Linked DNA regions of Arabidopsis thaliana. The protein of the gene in region 2 interacts with the protein of the main gene of each other region in a pairwise test. Each region holds a gene or a part of one and is shown on either strand. Other genes may lie near its edges.

Region 1 (6,834 bases), on a different chromosome or scaffold from region 2:
AAGAGGATATCACTTTGGTGTGATATGTTCAAAGAAGCAAATATGCAACTGGTATCAACACAGAACACGCAAAATTGATGTACCACTGATATCTATATAAATACTTAACAGTCAACATCTAAGCATATTTTGTTGATGTGTTGTAGTTCTATTTTATAAACAATATGGCTGATGAGATTCTAACCGGTGAACTCCTCATCTAATTGAATACACCATCAAAGAAACTTGATTAATGTGATGAGTCTCAAAACTCTCTACTAATGCTCAAACAAAACCCTGCGCAAGTCTATAATCCCCTCCTAATGTATTCTCCACACTCTTTTTTAAAATTTTCAGCTATCAGCTAATGTAAGCTCTGTTGTTGAGCTGGCGAAGCTATGCCTGAACCAACAACCCTAGGCTAGTTGAAATATTAGAGCACTAGGCTTAACAAGAACACCTTTATCAAAGGAACAATGAGCAATGTATCACAGGACTAACTGAATAAAATGGTTTAAGAAGGTTCAGTATGCTTGCCTATTGCATCTTCTTTATCTTATTTGTGGGCTTAGCAATAATCTTCTGTAGTAATCTTTCATCGATCTTCCTGTACTGTGTCTGAATGACTCGATGAGTTAAAGATAGCTTCTCGTCAATAAGATCCTGGTATCTCTCGTACAAAAAGGGAATCAACAGACTCAGAACAACACCTGTCCATTTATATCACACAGAGAAAGTCAATTAGCAAGTCTTGAGTACAAAATGTATACTCTTCCCCTTGTGGAGATACTTATAGGTTCTATCAATAATGAACAATGTAAAGAACAAAGGAAAAACAAAAAAACTACTCACCAAGATAGAGTATTGTGAGGAAGTTTAAGAAATTTCCAACAAATGATACTGTCCACAACACAACACTCACCTACCATAAGCAATCTCAATGTATCAATTTCAAGTAGAAATCTATTGGAAAAAAACAAAAGGGACAAGTTTGCTGACCCGAAAGAGTTGCTTTGCATTTCTTCCCACGTAAATCTCACGAGCAACAGCGAGCACGGTATTAATCCAGACTCGTATAGCATCAGCCACCATAAACACAAATTCCTCAGTGATTTCAAGATTAGGTAGTTGAGGCATAGGCCTAGTCAATAACAATCACAGTAAATTTCAGATTCAGCTTTAGCACAGAGGTAATGCAAACTTTTCTTCATACTTAACCATATCTTATCTACAAATTAGATACCTATAGAAAAGAATAGCAGATTTGGCCCAGAGGCATAGGTCTGGTCAAGAAATTTCAGATTCAGCTTTAGCAAACATACTTAAACCTGTAACCATTATCTTCTTATCTACAACAAACTTATGCAAACATTGTGACATTCTTCTTCACTAAAACTATGCAAACCAAAAATAATGTGACATTATACAATCAGGTTTAGATGATGATACCTATTGAAGAGAATAGCAGATTTGGCCCAGAGGAAGAGTATAACGACGGAGAGAAGCTGAGTATTAACAACAAAGGGGAAGAAACTGTATCCACATTTCTCAAAGAGGAACCATAACAATGTCGTTGATCCAAGTAGAAGAAACCCTCCGCGTCGATTCTTCCACATGATTAAATCTGCAACTGCATCAGTTCAGAAATCATATGAATCGGTAGATCTACACGTTAATGGAGTCGTAGAACAATGAAACAATGAGAGAAAGAGAGAAGAAACCTGAGCCGAATCGTATCGATTGATGAACAGATTCTTCCATTGCAGCGAATCAATATCTCTCACGAATCCCAAAATTGTTTTGAGTCTCTTCGTTTTACGCACATAGTCGTCTCTTCAATTTAAGCAGTTTGTGCGGTCTATGTCACCATTCATGGCCTTAACTAAATTTCTTTTTTGCTTTTAAACCATTCTTATCTTTGAGTAATTGATCTGATTCTATCTTTTGGCATTTCTTTTTTTTTTGGTTCACAATTTTTGTTGTTCCTTTAATCTCCATTTTCCATTGTGAACAATATATACATTACTTTGGAATATAGAGATGTTAAATCGGTGTATCAACAATTCAAAGATGGGGTATTTTTATATTAAACGGAATGCTTTTTGCTGGAACAAGTTGTGGTAGTAGCTTAGTCTGGAAAGCTACTACACACTCTGAGTCTGATGATCCATTCAAATACTTGACATCTCTCGAGGGACATCATAGTGGTGAAGTCACTTGTTTTGTACTTTTGTTGTTGGAGGTCAAGTGCTATACTCTGTCGATAAAACAATCAAGGTGTGGGATCTCAACACCCTGCAATGTATAATGACCTTGAAGCAACATACTGGCACTGTAACATCACTCTTATGTTGGGACAAATGTCTGATATCGTCTTCCTTGGATGGGACCACACGATTGGCACACTCACAATTGGTCCTCAAGGATTGCTATTCAGTGGACACAAAAGTGGGAACTTGCGTGTATGGAGCTTAGCTGCTGGCACCAAAGTTTAGTCGTTTTAACAATTTTCGACTAAAGAATTTTGGTTTACTTGTCAATATACATTGGTGGTTGATTTGATGAACCCTAATCCAATACAAAAGCCGATTAAAACCTGCTCCATTTCTTTTTCCCGTACATTGTTGAAAACAAAAGGAAAGAAAGAAACGAATCTCACAAAGATAGTTTTGGAATCATGTAACATGTCACAATAAAAGCTATGAACGGTTCTCTTGGAACTTGATATTAAACATTGGACGTAAAGGTTCTAGCACAGACTCTTCTTCTACTTCATCTTCACCTTCGTCAGATGATATTTCTCCTACTCTCGGTTGCTTTACTTCTTCCTCAGTAGTGTTTGGTTTTTGCTTCTTCTCCTGTTTCTTCTGCTTCTTCTTTTGGCGTTTCAAACGCTTCTTCGATGTTTTTTCCTCTGCAGCTTTCTGTTTCTCTTCTCTTCTTATAGTAAACTCTGCCATTTTTAACCGCTTGTTATAGTCAATATCCATCCTTGTTAGTCGGTCTTGTTCTCTCCGCCTCATTTGCCGGTACTGTAATAGAAAAACAATGCATCAGTATTGCACAAGTTTAGATGTCTAGTATAATAAGAAAATGATGTACACACGCTTTATCAATAATCAGGGCCACACTTCAGATAACACTCAGCCACAACCTATAGAATCAACACAACGACCATCAACCATTAATTACTAATACCCACATGAGCTTCTCGCAACTAATACTCTCAGTTCAAGCTCTACCGACTAAGTAATCAACGTCACAAAACACTTATAGACTAAGAAATTTAAGATTCCTATCACATGTACAACAAGGAACTTCTAGTAATTAATCGACTATAGCTTCGAATCCACACTTAGCCATGCCTAAGAACAAAAGACCAGGCATTCTTCACAAACAATCCAGCTGATTTTCAGTTACTGAAGAACAGAATTCATATACAGAAGTTGAAATCATTCACAGATCACAGCCATCAAAAGACTAATACAGGATAGTCTATGGAACATTCTATCAAACTCTTATATAGGCATAAAGGCATTGTGATCCATCACAAAACTAAGAAAACAATGTCAACACAAAGTCCACTAAGATAATTCAGATCCCAACAATGAACTTCTCGTAATTGATTACCACACCTAACTACGCCTAATAACAAAATACAAAGCCTTATCTGCAGTTTCAGATTCCAGATACAAAGCCTTATCGATTTAAGAGAAAGGCTTAGTTTAGTTACCTGATGGAAATCTCCAGAACCAGAACCAGCGGAACTTCCAGAAGTATTACTAACACGAACAGGAACGTTCTCAAGGATACGTCGGAGCTTTACTTCTAGATCTTCTTCATCTTCAAGCATCACCGGCGGTTTATACTCAACGATAGACGAAGATCCTCCGTGATCAGCCTTCTTCGCTTCCATCAATGCCGACGCCGTAGTGGCAGCAACCACCAATCGTGTGTCGCCTTGCTTTGGCTTCCCGGACGACATTGTCGAAACCCTAATTCCGGTCACACAATTTGGGGATTTTTTTTCCTCTACGATTTTTCGTCAAGACGATAATTTATTAATTTTGCTTTGAGGTCTGTAAAAATTATTGTCGTCTACATATAAAAATAGAAGGGCTTTTTGGGCTTGGGCTGGGTTTGTCTATTTTTTGGGTTGGGTGTATTGGACTTACCTCCTCCATGGTTTTTTTTTGGAGTTAAGTAAATCTAATAATAATAAGACAATCTCAATAAATAGTCTTTTACATTTTTTTAATGGTTGCGTTTTTTCTTTGTCATCTGAATTTTATTAGAAACCAAAGTAGGATACAAGTTCAAATGGTTACGTTTATATATCGTAAATTTTCGTTAACAAATTTACTGTAACTTTTTCGGGTTGCGTCTCTTAATTGTAACTTTTAGTCGAAACATTTACGGTTGTTCTTTTATCGCAAGCACTTTTGAATGGTTGTGTTTGTTTATCGCAACTTTTCGATAGAATATTTATGAGTTTTTTGGGTTTTTCTCGGTTGTATCTTTTTATCGTATTTTTTCAAAGAAATTTGACGGTTGTGTCTTTATATCGCAAACACTTCTGAACGGTTATGTTTTTATCGTAAATTTTTATTAAATATTTACGGGGTTTTCTGATTTTTTTCGTTCTGTCTTTTTATCGTGTATTTTCATTGAAATATAGTCAGGACTTTTTTACGGTTATATCTTTTTTAGTTGGGTATCTTTTTACGATTGTATCTGAATTGTTGTATCTTTTTATATAACGTAACTTTTTGTTACATATTTATGGTTATGTTTTTTGGTTGTATCTTTTTATCGCATATTTTGTTGAAATATTTACGGTTATTTTTCACAGTTGTTTTTTTTATCGTATCTCATCATTAAAATACTCTTTAACGTTAAAGTCGATGGTAACTTTTGTTCATAACTCTTCAACATACATTTTTTTATATTTTCATTATTAAAATATGAAACAAATTTTTATATCCGCTTAGTTGAACTACTGCAACATTTGGTTTACTAACAAATCATTGTAATTTTCTGTTTATTTTAGGAACTATTGTAACCCTTAATATTAATAAAAACCGTTGCAACATCTAGTATATTTGATATCTATAATCGTGTTTCTCGGTATAAAACTTCACAAAATATATTTTTAATTTGTGTAAATGAATTTTCGCAAACCATTTAATTGAACTAACATTTAATTTATTTGACTAATCTTTGCAAATTTTGATTTATTTTATGAATCGTTGTGACATTTAGTTTGTTTGACGAACGCACAACCTTTGGCATATTTAATATATGTGGTCGCTTGTCTCTATATAAATTTTTTTTTTTTTTTAACATCTTCTTTTCCATTGTTATTATGATCAAGAGTTTTCCAGCTGTAAGGCTGACGAAATTACAATCGGAATGTAATCATAAAATAAAATAAAAGTTGAATTTACTAAAATACATTTAAATATTTGCAATTGTTCAGTTGAACCATTGCAACATTTGATTTTTCTGACGAACCATTGCAATTTTTTTTTTTTTTTTTATGAACCATTGTATCATTTAATTTATTTGACGAACTGTTGCATCCATTGATATATTATCTTCAGTAGCGTCCTTAGATTATAACTCTTTTTCACCTGTTTGCCTCTTTTTATCGTAATATTTTTGTAACCTATTTTTCTTTTAGTTTTTTTCTGAACAAATGTTTTATATGGTTAAATATTTTCATTGTAACTCTTCATTAAATATTTAATACATAATAAAAAATCAAAATAAATATCTCATATGGTTGAGTCTTTTCATTGTTACGGATAGTAAAATATTTTTATTTATTTTAAATCTGAATAAATACATATTATGGTTGTTTCTTTTCATTGTAACCCTCCATTAATATTTTATTTTAATTTTTAATAATTGAAAAAATATTTTGTACAATTGTATTTTACAAAGTTGCATCTGGTCATTTAAAATTGTGTCTTTTCCCCTCCATTTTCGTCTTTTCTTCAAAATCGTTCGTAAAACATTTTTATTTTATTTTTAATTTGAATAAATAGTTTTGATGGTTGCATTTTCTTATATTGAAACTCTTCGTTAAATATATAAATTTATTAATTAGAAATTGTTTTTAACAGTTATGTCTTTTTACAATGTTATTTCTAGTCGTTTAGAATCGTGTCTTTTTCCCCATTTTTCGTATTGTTTTATCACAATTTTTTTAAAAAGTTATATATTTTACAAACAATTGTGTCAATTAAATGTTCATATATTTTGAACTTTATATATTTTGTTTACCAAATATTCAATCTACACAACATCGCGGTGGAATACATTCTTAGTATTTATCAATAAAGAAGAAATAGAATAATTTCTAACATATAAATATGGAGAGTTACTAAAATGTCGTAGAATCAAAAGGGAGAATTTGAAACAAAAACATTCTTAAAAAGGTTTTGTTCATCTAAATTTTTTTTACTCAATTTGATTTATGTTTACATGCTTTATTTCTAAGCTTCTTATTACATACTCCAAAACTATGGGTTTTATCTTTTCTTTCTTTCATGACATCAAGAGGAGTTACGTTGGAGCAACAAATATGTCCATAACTACTGCAAAACTAAAAGCCTTTTTGTGTTTCTTTAAATGCGGTTGACTAGCCTAGTGTTGGCGTCTCTAACGTCTTTAACTAGGCTAGATTTCAACAACTTATTTCTCATAATCACATTCATCCTATTCGTATCAAATGGCTAGTGATAGCATCATTTGAGTATTGGTTTTAACTTCAGCCTCTTAAGCATGCTTTTTTTAGTTTTATCTTATCTGATTTTTTGCACATAAACTCTACTATTTGTGTTTTGTTTA
Region 2 (7,898 bases):
AGATTGTTTTTACAGAGTGTTGATTTGTCCCCGTCTTGACAATTTGTTAGCTTCCAGTGAGAAGAATATGAGTTAGTCAGGTTGATCTGGATTAGTTTTTCGAAAGCTTAGTACTTATAATACTATCAGTTTGTTCTTGCAGAGTGATGAATGGCCCCATCGTGTCTATTGCGCGTGAACTTGGGTTTGAAGGCAATTCTATTCTTGAGGGTCTTGTTGTGAGCATATTTATTGCCGGTGCATTTATTGGTAGCATAGTCGCCGGTCCACTAGTTGACAAGTTTGGCTACCGACGCACCTTTCAGATTTTCACGATACCCCTCATTCTTGGTGCCCTTGTGAGGTAATATCTTGTTACTAAGGTGAATCTTGATTTCGTTATGTTAGTAACAATTCCATGATGATGTTTTAAGTTGTGAGGTAGCAGCATAACTAAATTTTACTTTTTCTCTCAGTGCACAAGCTCACTCCTTGGATGAGATCTTATGTGGAAGATTTCTTGTTGGTCTTGGTATTGGCGTCAACACAGTTCTTGTTCCAATATATATATCCGAGGTAATCTAATATGTGATTCCTTTTCAACTTCATGTTTTAACTATTTGGCTTCTTCTGCTGTAAGATCTAGGACATTTCTTAAAATTGATCCTATGTACTCTCAGACTCTCAGTACAATAAGTTGTGGTTTAGCATTCTTTTGCTTAGCATATTTTGCATTTCATATGTTCGGCTGAAGAGTCTTGTTACTTCTGATATTAAGCCAACCATTTTTATTCTATAGGTTGCTCCGACGAAATACAGAGGTTCCCTTGGAACTTTATGTCAAATTGGCACTTGTCTCGGGATAATCTTTTCTCTTCTCTTAGGGATTCCTGCAGAAGATGACCCTCATTGGTGAGCTTCATTTAGCTATCTATACATTTCACTCTTCACTTCATTCTCCTCATGTATACTACTGTTCAGGTGGAGGACAATGCTCTATGTAGCGAGTATGCCTGGTTTTCTTCTTGCACTTGGTATGCAATTTGCAGTAGAAAGTCCCCGTTGGCTCTGTAAGGTATAAGTCGCCTCTTTTAATCATGAGGAAGCATTGATTTTCCATGTTGAAATCGTGTCTCATGATACTTGTTTAGGTTGGACGACTTGATGATGCCAAAGTAGTGATAAGAAACATCTGGGGAGGATCTGAAGTCGAGAAAGCTGTAGAAGATTTTCAGTCGGTTATGAAGAATAGTGGCTCCAACTTAAATAGCAGATGGCTGGAACTCCTTGATAAACCACATTCACGAGGTCATGTTAAGGTTGCTTTTAATGTTAGTTCTAACTTCTAAGGGTGTTATATTATACCATAAATCAGAAACTGAAAACATTCAAGTTTAAGAATAACCTTTTCCAGGACTTTGATCTAAGAAACTGAGAATATATAACTTCATACATGAAAAATCTATGTAGCTAAATTGTATGTCTTGTTGATATAATGGTTGCAGTTGCATTCATTGGGGGCTCCCTTTTTGTCCTACAGCAATTCGCGGGCATAAATGGCGTTCTTTATTTCTCATCTTTAACATTCCAAAATGTTGGAATCACGAGTGGTGCTCAAGCAAGTCTATATGTTGGAGTCACAAATTTTGCAGGTTCTCAAGTCTCACCTATATCAACTTTAAATTTAGATGATTGTTTTTTTCTACTGTTTCCATCACAATGTCCCTTTTCTGAACTGTTGGGTCTAATAGGTGCTCTGTGTGCGTCTTATTTGATTGATAAGCAAGGAAGAAAGAAGCTTCTTATCGGTAGCTACTTGGGAATGGTAAATATCTTTTTCTTTTATCACATAAACTCTTTTGCTTTTCACTGCTTTAGCTTATTTTGATTGAATTGATTTGGTGTCACAGGCAGTCTCTATGTTTCTTATTGTTTATGCTGTTGGTTTCCCCTTGGATGAAGATCTGAGCCAGAGTTTGTCAATACTTGGAACACTCATGTAAGTAGCTTGAAGTCCAGCAATTACTAGTCTCCTTTTCTCAGCTCATATAGTACCCAAAAAAAGACAGAAACGTATCATATGTTTGGTCCTGTTACAGGTATATATTCAGTTTTGCAATTGGAGCTGGTCCTGTAACAGGTCTCATCATCCCTGAGCTAAGCAGCAACAGAACGCGTGGAAAAATCATGGGTTTCAGCTTCTCTGTACATTGGGTATGTGTTTTTTTAGTTTTCCCATAAATCATTTTATAACCTTTTGAAGTTTGAAGAATGACGAAGCAAATGTTCTTCAGGTCTCCAACTTCTTGGTTGGTTTGTTCTTCCTGGATCTGGTGGAGAAATACGGGGTTGGAACGGTCTATGCCAGCTTTGGCTCAGTATCATTGTTGGCAGCGGCATTCTCACACCTCTTCACGGTGGAAACAAAGGGTCGATCACTAGAAGAGATCGAACTGTCTTTGAACTCCAGAGACGACCTGAGTTAAAAAAAAAAACGGTATAAGTGAAAGAAAGAGAGAAAGACCTCAAAATTTTTATCAGTTTTTCATCAGTTGTTGTAAAATGTAAATAGCCTGGAAATTAGCTTGTGAGAAATCTTGTGAGTATATAGATATACTTAGGTATGTAAGAAAAGATTTATAAAAAATGCGAAAGAAAGTTGACAAGGATTACACAAAATACATACTTATGAAAGGTTTGTGCCTATTTACAAGTGGTAAGACGTTCTTGATTTATAGCTTAATGTAGTAACATTGTCTCGATCTAGACTATACATGCTTACCATGTCATGGTGAAAATCGTGAGTCCATAACTCATGATCTCTATATATTCATATTCATATATAATACTGGTTTGCACGTCTGCAAACAAAGATAAAGATTTCTGATAATATTAAATTTATCCCAAGAATATTGAATATAAAGATGCTAGCTGGTTCTCTGAAAAAAAAAAGCGTACACAGCTTGTCATTGAATTTATAACCTATACGAATATGAGGCTCGTAGAAACAACTCTTAAGGAATTGTGAGAGAATGTTACTTTTAGCCGATCAAAAAATTTGTAACATAAATACACTGACAAGATATTTGTATTATAATAAGTTTTCGAAATTTGAACACAATTCTATGCATCATGCTTTTTCTTCTAACAAGAAGAAGAATTTAAACACAATTATATATTTAACGCGCCAAAATCGCGTGTGAAGTCTCTCTATTAGTCAACGCTATATCTTGAAAGGGTCTCGAGACTCTCCAGCCATTTTATTCTGCCTTCCTCTCTATATTTAGAAGAACAAAAATTGAAAAAAAAATCCTTAGAGAGAGGAAAAAAATTTAGAGGAAAATCTTCTAATTTGGTTTTAATTCTTCGTGATTAATCGCTAATCCAGAGTGATTAAGAAATTAAAACCCCTTGAGGAACAAAGAAGACGTTTGGGTGAAATTAAAAGCGCGACGACGAGGACAATGCCGAGCAAGCTTAAAAAAGCGATTGGTGCGGTTAAAGATCAGACAAGCATTAGCCTCGCCAAAGTTGCTAACGGAGCCACCGGAGGCGGCGATCTCACGACTCTCGAAGTTGCGATCTTGAAAGCTACGAGCCACGACGAGGAAGTCCCAATCGACGATCGACTCGTAACAGAAATCCTCGGAATCATATCCTCCAAGAAATCTCACGCCGCCTCTTGCGCCGCCGCGATCGGTCGCCGTATCGGGCGTACACGGAATTGGATCGTCGCGCTCAAATCCCTAGTCCTCGTCCTCAGGATTTTCCAAGACGGTGATCCTTATTTCCCTCGCGAAGTCCTCCACGCCATGAAACGTGGCGCCAAAATCCTCAATCTCTCCAGCTTCCGCGACGATTCGAACTCGTGCCCTTGGGATTTCACTGCTTTCGTCCGTACATTCGCGCTTTACCTCGACGAACGTCTCGATTGCTTCCTCACCGGAAAATTACAGAGACGGTACACAAACCGAGAACAAACCGGAAGAATCAGCACCAACTCAACAACAAGATCCCGGTTTAATCCCAAAGCCGGAATTAAATCCCACGAACCGGCGGTTCGAGATATGAAACCGGTAATGCTTCTTGACAAAATCACGTATTGGCAAAAATTACTAGACAGAGCAATCGCGACGCGGCCGACGGGAGACGCGAAAGCCAACAGGCTCGTGAAAATGTCGCTTTACGCCGTCATGCAAGAGAGTTTTGATCTTTACAGAGACATTTCCGATGGATTAGCGCTTTTGTTAGACAGTTTCTTCCATCTGCAATACCAATCTTGCATCAATGCGTTTCAAGCTTGTGTTCGAGCTTCGAAACAGTTCGAAGAGCTTAACGCATTCTACGATCTTTCCAAATCGATCGGTATAGGAAGAACATCGGAGTATCCTAGCATTCAAAAGATCTCTTTAGAGCTTCTTGAGACATTGCAAGAGTTTTTAAAAGATCAATCGTCGTTTCCAGCGAGCTCAGGGTTGTATCCGTCACCGAATAGTTTTCTTCCTCCGCCTCCATCGTCCAAAGATTCAGCGGTTTCAAGCTCGCTTGATTTTGGGGATTCCACGATTGATACGTCGGAGAGGTATTCAGATTACGGGTCGTTTCGTAGTACTTCGTTGGAGGATTTGATGAGCAGGACTGAAGCAGGGACTAGTAGTCCTCCAATGTCTTGTCATTCTGAGCCATACGGAGGAGGACGAGATGATCCTAATGGGAATAATTTTGATACGGTTTCGACTAAATCGCTTCCCAATAATCCCTCTGTTTCTGCTTCCAATCTCATATTAGACCTATTGTCATTGGATGACGTAAGTAACACGGCAGAAGCAGAAGATGTTGAAGACAAGAAGAAGCAAGACGATTCAAAGGCAGAGACTTTCGATCCTTGGGAGGCGTTGATGTTGAGAGATGATCCGAAGAAGAAGATAGAAACGATTGAGGAGGAACCTTCAACCGCTGAGGACCATCAGAGAGATTCAGGGAATTGGTTGCTTGCGTTAGAAGAAACTGCTACGCAGGTGCAGGGTAATAACTCGATGGCGATAGTACCGTTCGGGTTAGATGATCCGATGCCTGCGTTTCAAGCCGCCACGGACCAATACAACCCATTCTTGGAAGAACCAGTTGCGCAGTTAGCTACAGCCGGAGAACCAATGATCACGTTCGGTGGCTTGGCTTTGACAGGGTTTCAGCCAGAACCGACATTTCAGGTGAACGTTCCTGATGATTTTGAGCCGTCTTCTACACCAACATTTAAGGCCACGGAGACTTTGCCTATGAAATGTGACCCGTTTACAACATTTGAGAGTTTTGGGTTCGGAGAGACATTTTCAGAAAATGGAGGGGTAAATCAGCAATCTGTATTGCAAGAACAGCAGATATGGTTGCAGAACCAGAAAAAGATCATAGCCAAGCACTTGAGTTGATACAAAATTTATTTGGCTAGACAGAGGTTGAGATGTTTCTTTGAGTTTTTCTTTTGTTACATTGTCAACTTAACTCTTAACTCATTTTTCCATAACTTAGAGAAATGTGAAATTCAGAAATTCTTTGATTAAAAAGATATTTCCGCGGATTCTATCTTCGTACTTGCATTCCTGTGTATACACGATGTATTTTGTGTGTCTTGTATCATAATCACATTGAGAATTTGATTTTCAAGTATATCTCAACGAATAACACTCAAATATCTAAGTTCACCTTCTGAATACATTTACGTACACGGTACACTTTGGGATTTACTTTTGAATATGTTATTTTCTTTGAAGTTTTTGGGAATTGAAATTTAGCTAGCATTTTGATCATCGTGATGATGTTATGTAGCATTTAGTTTATGTATTTTTGAAAATATTTATGTATTCATTTTTAGTCTATATTAATATAACAAGTTTTCACATAATCACACAACAGATGCATGCATCTAATGTGTGTGTATTAGATGAATGTATCCGATATGCGTATTAGATGCGTATATCTGGCAAACAATTTTTTGCATTTTATTTTCCGATATGCATGTATTTATGTGTTATGATATGCATCCGTGATAATGCGAATGATAAAATGAATGTATATCGGTGGAAGATAACGAAGAGGGAAGCCAAATGGAATAAATTAAGGAGGTCCACTAGTAGGTCAAGTTGGCTTTGTGGTGTCGATAACATGAGATTGACCAAAGCTGTAGCTTGACCCCAAGGCCACGAGGGAGAAAGATCTACCAAACCAAAATCATCATAACACATCTCTTTCTAGTATATAGCCCACCACAAATATTAATTCTTTTAATAGTTATACACCACAAATTTTATCCCCCATTGGCCATTGACTAGAGTCGTTTTCGTCTTTGACAGTGGTAAAAGCTTCTGTATATGTGAATTTAGGATTCCACCTTTCTTAGGTTTCTCATTACAAGTTGATTTAACTTCTTGACTTCTCAAGTTGTTGTTTTGTAATTTAGTAAAAATTTGCTTACAAGTCATACATGATTGAATATAACACCGGCTGCTAAGCCTATTTTTCTATCATAAGTTTCGCTTTCGAGTCAAAATGTTAGTCAACATGAAATAAAACACGTTTCTTTATTTGTTTTGCTTATTGATCAACTTTAAAATAGTCCCATAAAATAGCAAATATTAAGAAATTTCAAATCAATACATTAGTTGCCAAAACCCGTCTGTGATATTATACTTTTTGAGGCTCCATAATAATGACGTGAGATTTGTTTGTGACTGAGGAAGTGGAAAATAAAGTTAAGCATGTCTTACTATTATCAAATATCAGTTTTTCTATAACAAAGTATGAATGTTGATCAAAGACAAAAACAAAAAAAAGGTGATCCACCTTTCTCCAAATAGAAAGGAAGTAAGGCAATGAATGTTTTTTTTTTTTTTTTCCATTGCATTTGCTTTTAAATCCTTATAAGAATTTGAAAGAAAAATATCTTATCAACTCTTAGAGGTGATCTTTGGGCCAAAGAGGGAACCACGTAATCGAATCTGAACTTCTCCGCTTAAATGGGAAATTTTATTAGATCTGATAAACGGCCAAAAGTGATAGCTCATGATTCTTAATATAGACGTGCATACAGAGATGTTGTTACCGGCCGAAGAGCAGCTTCGTAATCAACGGACACAAATAAACCACTATTGGTCCATCAAAATTAATACAAAACGAATGAAAACTGCTGTGTCATAAGACTAAATAATTTTGTATATTATTATGATTTAGATGGATGCGGTCTACAAATTTTTTTAACAAAAACCAACCATTAGTTTGTTTAAGTTACTTGAAAACAAGAAAAGGTTCAGTGAAAGGTGATATATAAGCTATTATTATTATACACAGAGTAAAAGGAAGAAATGTGAAAAGGAAGATTAATCCACACTAAAAGTAAAAGGAAGAAAACGGGTCAAACAATGAATCGTCTGACTGAGTAATAATATACGTCGCTGTCATATATTTTGTATAACCATAAATTTTTTATATTTTTTCCGACCCAAATTATTTTTAGTTTTCTATAGCTAGTTACTAAATTAAAGGTGATGAATAGTAATCATGACTTTATGTCACACGATAAGGTTATTATCACCTACCTTTGAGTATATTTAGGATTTTCCGAAGACTTGGACGACCCAACTCAGTTTGGATAAAACCTTGTGGTCTATTCTAAATTTAATTCTAATTTACTTCTGATTATGTGGATTTATACACGGTTAAACATCAGAGGCTGAATAATAATTAGTTTGATAGATCTGATAGTTCCTCTGTTTTCTTTTTCTTTTTTGAGTTGATTATACTGTTTGCTTTTGTTGATTATTAGTCCAAAACATTAAAAGAACAAAAACAAAAAAAAGTGTTCACGCTTTTTGGTCGACCGTAACATACTTTATTGAATTTTGTTAAAAAATCATTACACAAATGAT

Evidence for each region.
Region 1: the proteins of AT1G05020 (region 2) and AT2G15270 interact in a two-hybrid assay, tested with the Arabidopsis thaliana proteins (one large-scale study listed by BioGRID).

The regions. Positions count from the first base shown.
Region 1 is NC_003071.7:6,635,097-6,641,930, reverse strand, and holds AT2G15270 (PRKR-interacting protein), read right to left. Parts: upstream 4,101-6,834; 5' UTR 3,965-4,100; coding exon 3,713-3,964; intron 3,012-3,712; coding exon 2,679-3,011; 3' UTR 2,502-2,678; downstream 1-2,501. Other genes in the region: AT2G15280 (Reticulon family protein), read right to left, coding at 517-689, 832-901, 979-1,120, 1,429-1,609, 1,701-1,740.
Region 2 is NC_003070.9:1,432,891-1,440,788, reverse strand, and holds AT1G05020 (ENTH/ANTH/VHS superfamily protein), read left to right. Parts: upstream 1-3,025; 5' UTR 3,026-3,443; coding exon 3,444-5,405; 3' UTR 5,406-5,634; downstream 5,635-7,898. Other genes in the region: AT1G05030 (Major facilitator superfamily protein), read left to right, coding at 143-343, 456-555, 779-891, 961-1,054, 1,131-1,287, 1,485-1,631, 1,731-1,804, 1,890-1,978 and 2 more. UniProt on the Arabidopsis thaliana protein: Adaptins are components of the adapter complexes which link clathrin to receptors in coated vesicles. Clathrin-associated protein complexes are believed to interact with the cytoplasmic tails of membrane proteins, leading to their selection and concentration.